Linked DNA regions of Saccharomyces cerevisiae S288C. The protein of the gene in region 1 interacts with the protein of each later gene in a biochemical or structural test. Each region holds a gene or a part of one and is shown in the gene's direction. Other genes may lie near its edges.

What was found.
Region 2: the proteins of MYO5 (region 1) and SHE4 form a complex in vitro, tested with the Saccharomyces cerevisiae proteins (one study listed by BioGRID).
Region 3: the proteins of MYO5 (region 1) and LAS17 form a complex in vitro, tested with the Saccharomyces cerevisiae proteins (one study listed by BioGRID).

What each region holds. Positions count from the first base shown.
Region 1 is NC_001145.3:484,770-490,803, forward strand, and holds MYO5 (myosin 5), read left to right. Parts: upstream 1-1,817; coding exon 1,818-5,477; downstream 5,478-6,034. Other genes in the region: ILV2 (acetolactate synthase catalytic subunit), read left to right, coding at 1-1,378; HFD1 (hexadecenal dehydrogenase), read right to left, coding at 5,625-6,034. UniProt on the Saccharomyces cerevisiae protein: One of two redundant type-I myosins implicated in the organization of the actin cytoskeleton. Required for proper actin cytoskeleton polarization and for the internalization step in endocytosis.
Region 2 is NC_001147.6:397,178-401,988, reverse strand, and holds SHE4 (She4p), read left to right. Parts: upstream 1-1,884; coding exon 1,885-4,254; downstream 4,255-4,811. Other genes in the region: CYC2 (oxidoreductase), read right to left, coding at 1-434; SNAP receptor PEP12, read right to left, coding at 775-1,641; YOR034C-A (uncharacterized protein), read left to right, coding at 4,321-4,563. UniProt on the Saccharomyces cerevisiae protein: Required for mother cell-specific ho expression. Might be required for the transport of factors (such as ASH1) that promote HO repression from the mother cell into its bud.
Region 3 is NC_001147.6:674,233-678,397, forward strand, and holds LAS17 (actin-binding protein LAS17), read left to right. Parts: upstream 1-1,706; coding exon 1,707-3,608; downstream 3,609-4,165. Other genes in the region: putative dodecenoyl-CoA isomerase DCI1, read right to left, coding at 120-935; 40S ribosomal protein eS30 RPS30B, read right to left, coding at 3,959-4,147.

The sequences.
Region 1 (6,034 bases):
TATTAACGAGGCTTTTGAAATTGCCACGAGCGGTAGACCGGGACCAGTCTTGGTCGATTTACCAAAGGATGTTACAGCAGCTATCTTAAGAAATCCAATTCCAACAAAAACAACTCTTCCATCAAACGCACTAAACCAATTAACCAGTCGCGCACAAGATGAATTTGTCATGCAAAGTATCAATAAAGCAGCAGATTTGATCAACTTGGCAAAGAAACCTGTCTTATACGTCGGTGCTGGTATTTTAAACCATGCAGATGGTCCAAGATTACTAAAAGAATTAAGTGACCGTGCTCAAATACCTGTCACCACTACTTTACAAGGTTTAGGTTCATTCGACCAAGAAGATCCAAAATCATTGGATATGCTTGGTATGCACGGTTGTGCTACTGCCAACCTGGCAGTGCAAAATGCCGACTTGATAATTGCAGTTGGTGCTAGATTCGACGACCGTGTCACTGGTAATATTTCTAAATTCGCTCCAGAAGCTCGTCGTGCAGCTGCCGAGGGTAGAGGTGGTATTATTCATTTCGAGGTTAGTCCAAAAAACATAAACAAGGTTGTTCAAACTCAAATAGCAGTGGAAGGTGATGCTACGACCAATCTGGGCAAAATGATGTCAAAGATTTTCCCAGTTAAGGAGAGGTCTGAATGGTTTGCTCAAATAAATAAATGGAAGAAGGAATACCCATACGCTTATATGGAGGAGACTCCAGGATCTAAAATTAAACCACAGACGGTTATAAAGAAACTATCCAAGGTTGCCAACGACACAGGAAGACATGTCATTGTTACAACGGGTGTGGGGCAACATCAAATGTGGGCTGCTCAACACTGGACATGGAGAAATCCACATACTTTCATCACATCAGGTGGTTTAGGTACGATGGGTTACGGTCTCCCTGCCGCCATCGGTGCTCAAGTTGCAAAGCCAGAATCTTTGGTTATTGACATTGATGGTGACGCATCCTTTAACATGACTCTAACGGAATTGAGTTCTGCCGTTCAAGCTGGTACTCCAGTGAAGATTTTGATTTTGAACAATGAAGAGCAAGGTATGGTTACTCAATGGCAATCCCTGTTCTACGAACATCGTTATTCCCACACACATCAATTGAACCCTGATTTCATAAAACTAGCGGAGGCTATGGGTTTAAAAGGTTTAAGAGTCAAGAAGCAAGAGGAATTGGACGCTAAGTTGAAAGAATTCGTTTCTACCAAGGGCCCAGTTTTGCTTGAAGTGGAAGTTGATAAAAAAGTTCCTGTTTTGCCAATGGTGGCAGGTGGTAGCGGTCTAGACGAGTTCATAAATTTTGACCCAGAAGTTGAAAGACAACAGACTGAATTACGTCATAAGCGTACAGGCGGTAAGCACTGAATTTCAAAAACATTTATTTCAAAAGCATTTTCAGTAAAAAATGCAGACTTTATTATTATTTAATCGTGCTTCTTATATATGACATTCTACCAAATCGGTAGTCATGTATATTTTTTTCGTATATACTTTATATATTTTTTTCTAAAAAACTAATGACGGCTAAAATTAAGTCATAGATGAATAATAAGTTCAATTCAAGTGAGTTGGTAGTATTTGATAAATCTAAAGTGGATACGTAGCATATGTATTCAAATGGTGTGTTTTAACTCGTCGGACACGACTTCTTTCTCGTTTTGTCAATCATCAAAAATATTTCTCGAAAAGGGGCCGTCAAAAATTGCAAGCTTGGAAAATACAAACTGGACTATGTATTTAAAGGTTATAGTTTATAATAAAGCATAAGAACAGTGGCCAATACGAATTTAACCGCTTTATAGAAATGGCTATCTTAAAAAGAGGAGCTAGAAAAAAGGTACATCAGGAGCCAGCTAAACGCTCTGCGAATATCAAGAAAGCTACTTTTGATTCCTCGAAGAAGAAAGAAGTTGGTGTGTCTGATCTGACGCTTCTTTCTAAAATCTCCGACGAAGCCATAAATGAAAACTTGAAGAAGAGATTTTTGAATGCTACAATCTACACTTATATAGGTCATGTGTTAATTAGTGTCAATCCATTCCGAGACCTCGGAATCTATACTGATGCTGTTATGAATGAATACAAAGGTAAGAATAGATTGGAAGTTCCACCCCATGTATTTGCAATTGCAGAGTCTATGTACTACAACATGAAATCATATAATGAAAATCAGTGTGTTATTATTTCAGGTGAATCAGGTGCCGGTAAAACTGAAGCAGCTAAAAGAATTATGCAATATATTGCGGCTGCTTCTAGCACACATACGGAGTCAATTGGAAAGATTAAAGACATGGTTTTAGCCACTAATCCATTGTTGGAATCTTTTGGCTGTGCAAAGACTCTAAGAAATAACAACTCTTCTAGACATGGGAAATATCTAGAAATAAAATTCAATAACCAGTTTGAACCATGTGCTGGTAATATCACAAACTATTTATTGGAGAAGCAGAGAGTTGTGAGTCAAATTAAGAATGAAAGAAATTTCCATATATTCTATCAGTTCACGAAAGGTGCTTCCGATGCTTATAGGCAAACATTTGGGGTCCAAAAACCGGAACAATATGTGTACACAGCTGCTGCGGGTTGCATATCTGCTGAGACAATTGATGATTTGCAAGATTATCAAGAGACATTAAAAGCTATGAGAGTTATTGGTCTCGGTCAAGAAGAACAAGACCAAATTTTCAGGATGTTAGCTGCAATTCTTTGGATTGGTAATGTTTCCTTTATAGAAAATGAGGAGGGGAATGCGCAAGTTAGGGACACCTCAGTAACCGATTTTGTTGCTTACTTGTTACAAATAGATAGCCAATTGCTGATTAAATCACTTGTGGAAAGAATTATGGAAACCAATCATGGTATGAAAAGAGGGTCAGTGTATCATGTTCCATTGAATATTGTCCAAGCAGATGCGGTTAGAGATGCTTTGGCAAAGGCTATTTACAATAACTTATTTGACTGGATTGTGAGTAGGGTTAACAAATCTCTGCAGGCTTTTCCAGGCGCTGAAAAATCCATTGGTATTCTTGATATTTACGGCTTTGAAATTTTTGAACATAACTCTTTTGAGCAGATTTGTATCAATTATGTTAATGAAAAGTTACAACAAATCTTTATTCAATTGACATTGAAATCTGAGCAAGAAACTTACGAGAGAGAAAAAATCCAATGGACCCCAATTAAATACTTTGATAACAAGGTTGTGTGTGATTTGATTGAGGCAAGAAGACCACCTGGTATATTTGCAGCAATGAATGATTCTGTTGCAACTGCACACGCGGATTCAAATGCTGCTGATCAGGCTTTTGCTCAGCGTTTGAACTTGTTCACAACAAATCCACATTTTGACTTGAGATCTAACAAGTTTGTTATTAAGCATTATGCCGGTGATGTCACATACGATATTGACGGTATTACAGATAAAAATAAGGATCAATTACAAAAGGATCTGGTAGAATTAATTGGTACCACTACCAATACATTTTTAGCCACCATTTTCCCGGATACTGTAGACAGAGAATCAAAAAGAAGGCCACCTACAGCAGGCGACAAAATTATAAAGAGTGCAAATGATTTGGTTGAAACTTTATCAAAAGCACAACCTTCATATATCAGAACAATTAAACCAAACGAAACCAAATCTCCTAACGATTATGACGATCGGCAAGTTCTACACCAGATTAAGTATCTAGGTCTGCAAGAAAACGTGCGTATCAGAAGAGCAGGTTTTGCATATAGACAAGTGTTTGAGAAGTTCGTGGAAAGATTTTATTTATTATCTCCACACTGTTCTTACGCTGGTGACTATACATGGCAAGGTGATACCTTAGATGCTGTTAAGTATATATTGCAAGATTCCTCTATCCCACAGCAGGAGTACCAATTGGGTGTCACAAGTGTTTTCATCAAAACACCTGAAACATTATTTGCTTTGGAGCATATGAGAGATAGATACTGGCACAATATGGCTGCCAGAATCCAACGTGCTTGGAGGAGATTTTTGCAAAGAAGAATTGATGCGGCCACTAAGATCCAGCGCACCATCAGGGAGAGGAAGGAAGGTAATAAGTATGAGAAGCTCCGGGATTATGGTACGAAGGTTTTGGGTGGAAGAAAAGAAAGAAGGTCTATGTCCTTATTAGGTTACAGAGCCTTCATGGGTGATTATCTATCATGCAACGAGTCCAAATCGAAGGGCGCTTATATCAAAAGACAAGTGAGCATTAAAGAGAAGGTCATCTTTTCCATACATGGTGAGGCCTTGCATACAAAATTTGGCCGTTCTGCACAAAGATTGAAAAAAACTTTCCTATTAACTCCAACTACATTGTACATTGTTGGTCAGACTTTGGTCCAAAATGCTATGACCTATACTCAGGATTATAAAATCGATGTGCGAAACATTCAAGCGGTTAGTTTAACCAATTTACAGGATGATTGGGTCGCCATTAAGTTGGCTAGCTCAGGTCAACCTGACCCCTTAATCAACACATATTTCAAAACAGAACTCATAACGCATCTGAAAAGGCTTAACGACAAAATTCAAATTAAAATAGGCTCGGCGATAGAGTACCAAAAGAAACCTGGAAAGTTGCATTCAGTGAAATGTCAAATCAATGAATCTGCACCAAAATATGGCGACATATATAAATCCAGTACAATATCAGTTCGTCGTGGTAACCCACCTAATTCTCAAGTGCACAAAAAACCGAGAAAAAAGAGTTCAATCTCTTCAGGATATCATGCTAGTTCCTCGCAAGCAACGAGGAGGCCAGTTTCGATTGCTGCAGCCCAGCATGTTCCCACCGCCCCGGCTTCTAGGCATTCTAAAAAGCCTGCCCCTCCACCACCAGGAATGCAGAACAAAGCTGCTACAAGAAGATCTGTTCCTAATCCTGCTTCCACTCTCACTGCATCCCAAAGTAATGCCCGTCCTTCTCCCCCTACTGCTGCCACTCGTGCTACACCCGCTGCTACACCCGCTGCTGCCGCAATGGGCTCTGGTAGACAGGCAAATATCCCTCCACCACCTCCTCCACCCCCACCCTCTTCAAAGCCAAAAGAACCCATGTTTGAAGCGGCTTACGATTTTCCTGGTTCAGGATCACCATCTGAGTTACCTTTAAAGAAAGGAGACGTAATTTACATTACAAGAGAAGAACCAAGCGGTTGGTCTCTCGGGAAACTTCTGGATGGCTCTAAGGAAGGTTGGGTGCCAACAGCTTACATGAAACCACATTCCGGAAATAATAATATCCCTACTCCTCCTCAAAACAGGGATGTTCCTAAACCCGTTCTGAATTCTGTACAACATGATAACACCTCTGCAAACGTTATTCCAGCTGCAGCCCAAGCAAGTTTGGGTGATGGTTTGGCGAATGCGCTTGCTGCTAGGGCCAATAAAATGAGATTAGAGAGTGATGACGAGGAGGCTAACGAAGATGAAGAGGAAGATGATTGGTAATCAAAATGTATTTAGCGAGTATATACTCTATACGAGCAAATAGAGTAAATTGTAATTAATAAATATTGATATATTATCGCCCATATGAAATTTTTAAACGAAAGGTTACTTATACATCAAATAATTAATTAACCTTAAACATTACGTTCAGGAAGAACAATGAGCGTAAATGGTACTAATTAAAATAACGGCGGCAGATAATGAAAAATATTGGCGTAACCCCCACTTGTTATTGCCATTTCTGTCAAACCAAGGTTTTCTTTCCATCGCAAAACGGACGAGCTTTTCCTTTTGTGCGCTATTTGGAGGGTATCTCATAAAAAGGGTAAAATCATTCCAATATGGTTGTTTAAAAATTGTTCTTTCATGACTAAAGGTATTGAATCCATAATATCCACCATAGTTACCATAACCTGAAGTACCGATCCCTCCAAATGGAGCGTCGGTAATTCCTACATGAATCACTGTATCACCGACAACACAGTCACCAGATCTTAAGCGCGTCAAGATACGATTTATTTCAGTTTGGCTATCAGAGAATATGTATTGCACCAATG
Region 2 (4,811 bases), on another chromosome or scaffold:
CCATCTGCATTGTCACCATCTTTTAAGATTTCAATCTCTTTTGAAGCTGGGTTAAATTTAAGCGGTAGAGGCGTATAATTGCGGACCACCATGACTTCCGGTTGTTTGATCTCGACGGACCACAGATTTTCCGCAGTCATCAATGACCATATGTTAACTTTCTGCTTAAACAACGGAGTTACTTCCAATAAAAAATGTGATGAATCAATATCTCGCTTGTGTGAAATCTTGTACTTGACAAAATAAGATGGAGATAACTCATGTTTGTTTTCCCTCTCACTTGTGTACCTGTAGGTTAAATAACTGCTTACTGCTCCAACTGTCAGTAGGCAGCCTGTGATAAAAAAGTTCTTAGAGAAGCTGCTCTTTCTAGGTGACTTATGAAGCCTACGTGTTATTCGGGAACTGGATAGAACATAATTTTTCCACAGCATGCTACTTTTTCTTTTTTTCGTTTCCTCTTTTCTATTTTTGAAGGGTTCTTTCAACACGTTGCACTCTTCGAAGTTGTATTTTTCACTTGGGTTAAGTGAATTTTCACTCTTCATTAGGGTATGATGATATTAACAACATTTCAGAAGGGCAAGGAAAGGCGAAAAACTGAATTATGGAATATACTCTCTCTTTGCGGCTGGTTAAGATGCGACGGCGTAGAAATATTATGAGAGAGCCCATGCATTGTACAGTGAAAGTGCAAAACAAGTTCATTAACACGAATCTGTTTTAAGTGTATATATTATGTATATGATATTTGACGACGTGTGTTGGTTTGGTTTACAATTTCATAATGAGAAAAATAAAAAGAAGCATTACGAGAAGCACAATCAACAAATACACCCTCCATCTGCTCGTACGTTTTTGGTACCGCATGGCCTTCCTTAGCTCGTCTGAAGCCAATTGAGTGTTATCTGACGTTGTATAAATATTTGCTTCAATATTGTCAACTAGCACACCCTGCTGTTGAACAACACTTCCCAAATCTTTAAAAACTTCGTTCAGTTCCGTTATACCTCTTTCAATATTGCTGATTTCCTGGTCTCTTTGCTCGATAAGATTTTGCTGATAAGCAAACTCTTCGTTATTTATCGGGTCTCTCTCAATGACTATTTGGCTGCCTGGTATTCGAGTACTTTTTGAGCTATTCTGCCTTTGTTCTTCATCTAATAAAGCAGCATCATTTGCCATCTCACTTGCTTCAAGAGATTCTTTTGCTCTTTCATTAACTTGTTTCATTACTTGGGTAAACTGCCGCTGAATACCTTGAAACTCTTGAAAAGAGTAACTGACATCCCTCACAAGTTTCTCTCTCGCTATTATTTGAGTCTTATCCAGGCTAGCTTCCTCAATCGCATCCATCTTTTTCACTGATGTATTGACCTTTTTAATGAGCCCGCCTATTTCTTCTATCTTTGCCACAGATCTCTTATTAATTCTTTCCACAACTTTCGCACTAACATCTCCCCGATCTATAAATGACTTAAGTGTCGCGGTAAACTGCTGCAGCGTGCTTATTTGCCCATTTATTTCAAATAACTCTGCAGCAACCTCTTCTTTCAACGTTTGGAACTCAGGTGAATCACTGAATCTGGAACCGTTCCAAACGGCTTCATTATCACCACCAAAAAATTCGTCTTCCGACATCTCAACACAATTATTGTAGTAATTTACGTTATATTCTTCTATAAAAGCATTCTCTTTGGAGTGATAGCAGGCCTGTTTTATAGGGGATTATACTCTGGCGCAGTAGTTCATCGTCGATCATGATGATTATCAGCCGCGATAAGGCACGAAGGCTTAAATCCAATTACGAATCTTCTACTTAATAGTGAAGACGTTTTATCTAAACTACTCACATGAAAAGATTACTAAAAAATTAGAATCACGATGCCACTGTGTGAGAAAGGGAATGATCCAATCGATAGCTCTACTATTGATAGCCTCTGCGCTGCATTTGACAAGACTTTGAAATCCACCCCTGATGTCCAAAAATACAATGATGCTATAAATACAATTTTCCAGCTAAGGCAAAAATCTGAATCTGGGAAAATGCCGGCTGATTTAACGAATAGTGAAGCCCTTAAAGATCGTCAGAAAATCGAAGAAATATTGACCAGGTCTTACCAAGACCATTCTGAGTCCCGCGTACATTTATCTAAACTTATACAGAATGATATTCCCTTCGCACTCAATTTATTTGAAATATTATCAAGATCATCCATCCACGTTTTCGTTGGTTGCTTTTCCAATAAAGACGCAACAATTGCATTGTTAAATGAGCTGCAAATTAGGATACACTATGGCGAGGACACCCACGTCACGTATTTACTGAGCATAATTCTACAACTATTGAATAAGTTCAAGTACAATTTCAAGGAGGTGCGATTTTTAGTGAAGGAACTTATTTTGCGCATAAGCGAAGATGAAGTAAAATCGATGATGCTTATAATTTTTGCTGAATTACAATCAAGCTTCCAAAAAGACTTTGATAAAGCAGTGGTCGATTTCATGAGTAGCTTAATTGTGGAGGCAGAAATAGACGTTGGAAATGATCCATTGTCCATCATAGTCAAAACCCTATCAGAATTATATCCTTCATTGACAACACTTTGTTCTGAAATATTTTTGACCAAAGGACTAAGTAAGCTTTTTAAGAAGAGAGTATTCGAAGAGCAGGATTTACAGTTTACAAAAGAACTGCTGCGGTTATTATCTTCCGCGTGTATTGATGAGACCATGAGAACGTATATTACAGAAAATTACCTTCAACTATTGGAAAGATCACTAAACGTGGAAGATGTACAAATATATTCTGCATTGGTGTTAGTTAAGACATGGTCTTTCACAAAATTAACGTGTATAAACTTGAAGCAACTGTCCGAAATCTTTATAAACGCTATTTCAAGACGTATCATGCCAAAAATTGAAAATGTCAATGAAAGTGCGGTTAAGCTCGAGGAGGTTCCTAAAGTTGAAATGTCCGTTGAAGCGCTGGCATATTTAAGTCTAAAGGCCTCGGTTAAGATTATGATTAGGAGTAACGAGAGCTTTACTGAAATTCTATTAACTATGATTAAAAGCCAGAAAATGACGCACTGTTTATATGGTCTCTTAGTTATCATGGCAAATTTGTCCACTTTACCAGAGGAATCCAATGGTAGTTCACAGTCTATCAATGACTTAAAAAATTACGCAGATTTGAAGGGCCCAGGCGCAGACAAGGTAGGCGCAGAGAAAGAATCAAAGGAAGATATTCTTTTGTTTAACGAAAAGTACATATTAAGGACCGAGCTGATTTCCTTTTTGAAGAGGGAAATGCACAATTTGAGCCCCAATTGTAAACAACAAGTGGTTAGGGTTATATATAACATAACCCGCTCGAAAAACTTCATTCCTCAATGCATTTCACAAGGTGGTACAACTATCATCTTAGAATATTTGGCCAATAAGCAGGACATAGGGGAGCCAATACGGATTCTAGGGTGTCGGGCATTAACAAGAATGCTAATATTCACTAATCCGGGTTTGATATTTAAAAAATACTCTGCATTAAACGCTATCCCCTTCTTGTTCGAATTGTTGCCAAGGTCTACGCCAGTGGATGACAATCCGTTACATAACGACGAACAAATAAAGCTGACAGACAATTACGAGGCACTATTAGCTCTGACGAACTTGGCATCATCGGAGACCTCTGATGGTGAAGAAGTTTGCAAGCATATCGTATCTACAAAAGTATATTGGTCCACGATTGAGAATCTGATGCTAGACGAAAACGTTCCTTTGCAAAGATCAACATTAGAGCTCATAAGTAATATGATGAGTCATCCATTAACGATTGCTGCTAAGTTCTTTAACTTGGAAAATCCTCAGAGTTTGAGAAATTTTAATATATTGGTGAAACTTCTTCAGTTATCCGACGTTGAGTCTCAACGAGCAGTGGCTGCTATCTTTGCTAACATTGCCACCACGATTCCATTGATAGCTAAGGAACTGTTAACCAAGAAAGAACTAATCGAAAATGCTATTCAGGTATTTGCGGATCAAATTGATGACATTGAGTTAAGACAAAGGTTACTTATGCTTTTTTTTGGATTATTCGAAGTGATACCGGATAATGGCACTAACGAGGTGTATCCGTTGCTGCAAGAAAATCAAAAATTAAAGGATGCTTTAAATATGTCTTTAAAGAGAGGCGATTCAGGACCAGAGTTTTCAGCGGCAATTCCCGTTATCCTTGCTAAAATTAAAGTCTAATATGGAAAGAATCGCCATGTTTAACTCTTCTTAATTTTCACTAAGAAATACAACAGCACCCTGATAATGAACACACAAGAACTATGTAAGATTTTCGTAGCCAGAGAATATCCTCTGGTAGTGGTGCCCTTTATATATTTTGTTCTATTTTTACACCAGAAGTATCACACTACTCTAAATTATGTCTGGTACCCTACGTGTTCTAAAAGAATCTGGGTGAGAGAAAAAGGAAGAAAGTGCTCCTTTTTTTTTTTTTCAAAGGTGCCTCGGTCCGATGGCTTCGCAAACAATAGATGCCAAAGGAAATGATCTTCTCTTTTTCGCTTCTTTATTTTTTTTTAAGTTACGACTTCGTGCAGCCTGGGATGTACCAAGCTTGTTGTTAAACGAGCCTGACTTCTTAATCGCTTAATCTTAGTTGAATTTAGTAGTTCCAGTTTGTATGGCTGCTATTTTTGAGTATTTGGAATCATCTTTCGTTCAGCGATCTTTTTATCATTCACTTTGTCGTTTACAATTAGAAAGCGTCAAAACTTTGCATTTTTCATTTAATAATA
Region 3 (4,165 bases), on another chromosome or scaffold:
GATATAAAATATTGTGCGCCAACATTAAAGTATTAAAGAACCCGGAATTTAACAATTGCAGAAGTATGATCGTGTAGTAGATTTTTTATGTTAAAATCCTATCTCTAAATGCTATATTATTATAACTTGTGGCGCCTGTTTCCCTCTTGAAGCTGTTTAAATCTTTTGAATGGCTCGCCGCTTGCCCAAAAAGGCAAGGTTCCGTTAGTCTCCATTGCTTGTGCTTTGATAAGCTTCTGTTTCATTTCACTGTGTAACAATTCTTTCATACCTAGTACACTTTTCGGATAAAGCCCTTCTAAATTCTGCTTTATGTCCTGAAGAACTTTTTCATTGAATGTTTCAGTATTTGTCAATTGATAATTTTTTGTAATAATAGTTCCTATCAATTCTTTAAATAGAACTGGTGTGCTGAAAATCATATGTTCGTTTGCAGAATTTATACCCAGTTTTTGAGTTAAGGTAACAGAAGTTCCCACTTCTGCGACAAAACCGAGATTGCTGAAGGGAAAAAGAAGAAATACTGAATCGTTTTGCGAGTAAACAATGTCACAAAGAGCAACTAGCGATGCGCTAAGTCCGATGGCCGGTCCATTCAAACAGCACACCAGAACCTTTTTATGGATTGCAAATGCGTTCGCCACAAATATGTTAGGAGAGCTTATAGCAGATACCAGCTTTGAGACTTTCTCCACTTCGCTTGTAACGTCTCCATCGTTTAGCTTGTTAACTGCTGAAAACTTACCTCCCGAGGAGAAATACTTGCCTGAGCTTTGTAGAACAGTAAACAAAACAGAATCAATATCGTTTGCCTTATGCAGTAATAGTGCAATGTATACAAAATCCTCGAAAGTTAAAGAGTTCAAATGTTTTGGATCAATTAATTTGATTATGAAAAAGGGACCATTAATATGGTAGCACACACGACTGCTCATAGTTAGAAGATAACTCACTAGACTTAACACCAGAAAATCCTACTCTGTAATAAAATAATCCCGGGGTAATGGATTGGATTTTTCTATCAGGATCGTTTACGTATATATAATACACTGTCGGAGTTTAGCGCGCTTACAGCCGCTACTTGTGGAGTCCTTTTTTTTTTTTTTTTTTTGGGGTTTCAGACATCCAGTAAAGAATAGAAACAAGCAACAAACTTCAGAACTGAAACAATGCTTTTTTAAGTTATCGCCTAAATATATTCAAAAAATATAGATATGCTAGATTTTCAATTATACCAAAGTTCATATTTTCAAAATGAATGTTAACAAAAAGACAAGTTGATGGCCCTTTTTCATAAAGTATGCGTTTAGTTTCAAGTAACGCCGGCTGACGTGGACGATTTATCAAAGAAGTGGTTTTGGAATACTCTTCTTTTGCAATTAGAAAAAAGGCAAAACTAAATGCAATGCAAGCAGTTGCCCATGGTACTTGAAATTGTGTCTCTGGTTTAAAAGATCTATGATATAAGTCTTAACTGATCTTATAGTTGTTTTTTTTTGAATTTTCCAAATAGTTTATATGATCATTGAATACGTGCGAGACGTCCGAAAAGGGGCCAGTCAATACCTATGAAAAAAAATCATGAATATGTAATAATAAATATTGAATGTAGAATATACATAGTAGAAAAGGAAGTGCTGTAGCGATTGCCATCTCCGCTACAAATTACAGTTCGTTACTTTAAGTGTTGATAGGCGTGATTTAATATGGGACTCCTAAACTCTTCAGATAAGGAAATTATCAAAAGGGCTCTACCAAAAGCGTCGAATAAGATTATTGATGTTACGGTGGCTCGACTATACATTGCATACCCTGATAAAAATGAATGGCAGTACACTGGACTTTCAGGAGCTCTTGCTCTAGTAGACGATCTTGTGGGGAATACTTTTTTTTTGAAATTAGTTGACATCAATGGCCATAGAGGAGTTATCTGGGACCAAGAATTGTATGTGAATTTTGAATACTATCAAGACCGTACTTTTTTTCATACATTTGAGATGGAAGAATGCTTTGCAGGTTTATTGTTTGTAGATATTAATGAAGCATCGCACTTTTTAAAGAGAGTTCAAAAGCGTGAAAGATATGCTAACAGGAAAACTTTGTTGAACAAAAATGCTGTAGCATTAACCAAGAAAGTAAGAGAAGAACAAAAATCTCAAGTGGTGCACGGCCCAAGAGGGGAGTCATTGATTGACAATCAAAGGAAAAGATATAATTATGAAGATGTGGACACAATTCCAACTACAAAGCATAAGGCTCCTCCCCCTCCTCCGCCAACGGCCGAAACATTTGATTCAGACCAAACAAGTTCATTTTCCGATATCAATTCGACAACAGCATCCGCACCGACTACCCCAGCCCCTGCTCTTCCTCCTGCATCTCCTGAAGTAAGAAAAGAAGAAACGCATCCAAAGCATAGTTTACCGCCTTTACCAAATCAGTTTGCGCCATTACCAGACCCTCCACAACATAACTCTCCACCTCAAAATAACGCGCCTTCGCAACCCCAAAGCAATCCATTTCCATTCCCAATTCCTGAAATTCCCTCGACACAGTCTGCAACAAACCCATTTCCATTTCCGGTACCTCAGCAGCAGTTTAATCAAGCTCCTTCAATGGGCATACCACAGCAGAATAGGCCCCTTCCACAGTTGCCTAACAGAAATAATCGGCCTGTGCCACCTCCTCCGCCAATGCGTACCACTACTGAAGGTTCAGGTGTTCGCCTACCTGCTCCTCCACCTCCGCCAAGGCGTGGGCCAGCACCACCGCCTCCACCACATAGGCACGTAACCAGTAATACCCTGAATTCTGCCGGTGGAAATAGCCTCCTTCCACAGGCCACTGGAAGAAGAGGGCCAGCACCACCACCTCCTCCAAGAGCATCTCGCCCCACACCAAACGTTACGATGCAACAAAATCCACAACAGTACAATAATTCTAACCGCCCCTTTGGATATCAGACAAATAGCAACATGTCATCTCCACCCCCTCCTCCAGTGACAACTTTCAATACCCTGACACCACAAATGACTGCAGCAACTGGACAACCTGCAGTTCCCCTTCCTCAGAATACTCAAGCACCTTCGCAAGCCACAAATGTGCCAGTGGCACCACCACCTCCTCCGGCATCTTTAGGCCAGTCGCAGATACCTCAGTCAGCACCCTCAGCACCTATTCCGCCAACGTTACCATCGACGACGAGTGCTGCACCACCTCCGCCACCAGCATTCCTAACTCAACAACCTCAATCTGGAGGAGCTCCAGCTCCACCCCCACCTCCTCAAATGCCAGCTACATCAACATCCGGAGGCGGTTCATTCGCTGAAACTACTGGAGATGCAGGTCGTGATGCACTTTTAGCTTCAATTAGAGGGGCAGGTGGCATAGGCGCTTTGAGAAAAGTTGACAAATCGCAGCTAGATAAGCCCTCAGTTTTACTGCAGGAAGCACGTGGAGAATCTGCTTCACCACCAGCAGCGGCTGGAAATGGAGGCACACCTGGTGGACCTCCGGCTTCTTTAGCAGATGCGTTGGCAGCAGCTTTAAACAAAAGAAAAACTAAAGTGGGAGCTCATGACGATATGGACAATGGTGATGATTGGTAATGGAATGCAAACAAAGATGAAACTACTGTTATAGAAAATATGTAATTTTATGTACTCACTATTAATGATCAAAGTAATTGCTCTTTTTATGTATAGTTTCTTTAATCGGAGGAAATTTTGATATAGGTTCAAAGGCGGTCAGTGATTGAATGATCAAGGTAATAGTCGGGCTACAATGATGGCCATCCCTATGGCCGTTTCAAATGTTTGAGAAAATGATGTATAGTAAATCCTAGATTTTAGCAGTTCGAATCAAAAACCCATGTAAAAAGGGTAAATATTTCCTAATTATAATATTTTTGTTTAATTACACATGTAGAACAATAAAAGTATAGAATTTTAGATAGTATCTATTGGACAGATGGACCTGGGTTCATTCTTCTCTTACCGTTAACCAAGGTAACGTTAACGAATCTTCTGGTGTACAATAATCTCTTGTAAGCACGACCCTTTGGTTTCTTTGGCTTTTCAGTTTTTTCAACCTTTGGAGTTTGAGACTTAACTTTACCAGCACGAGCTAGAGAACCGTGAACTTTAGCCTAAGGAGAATTTGAAAA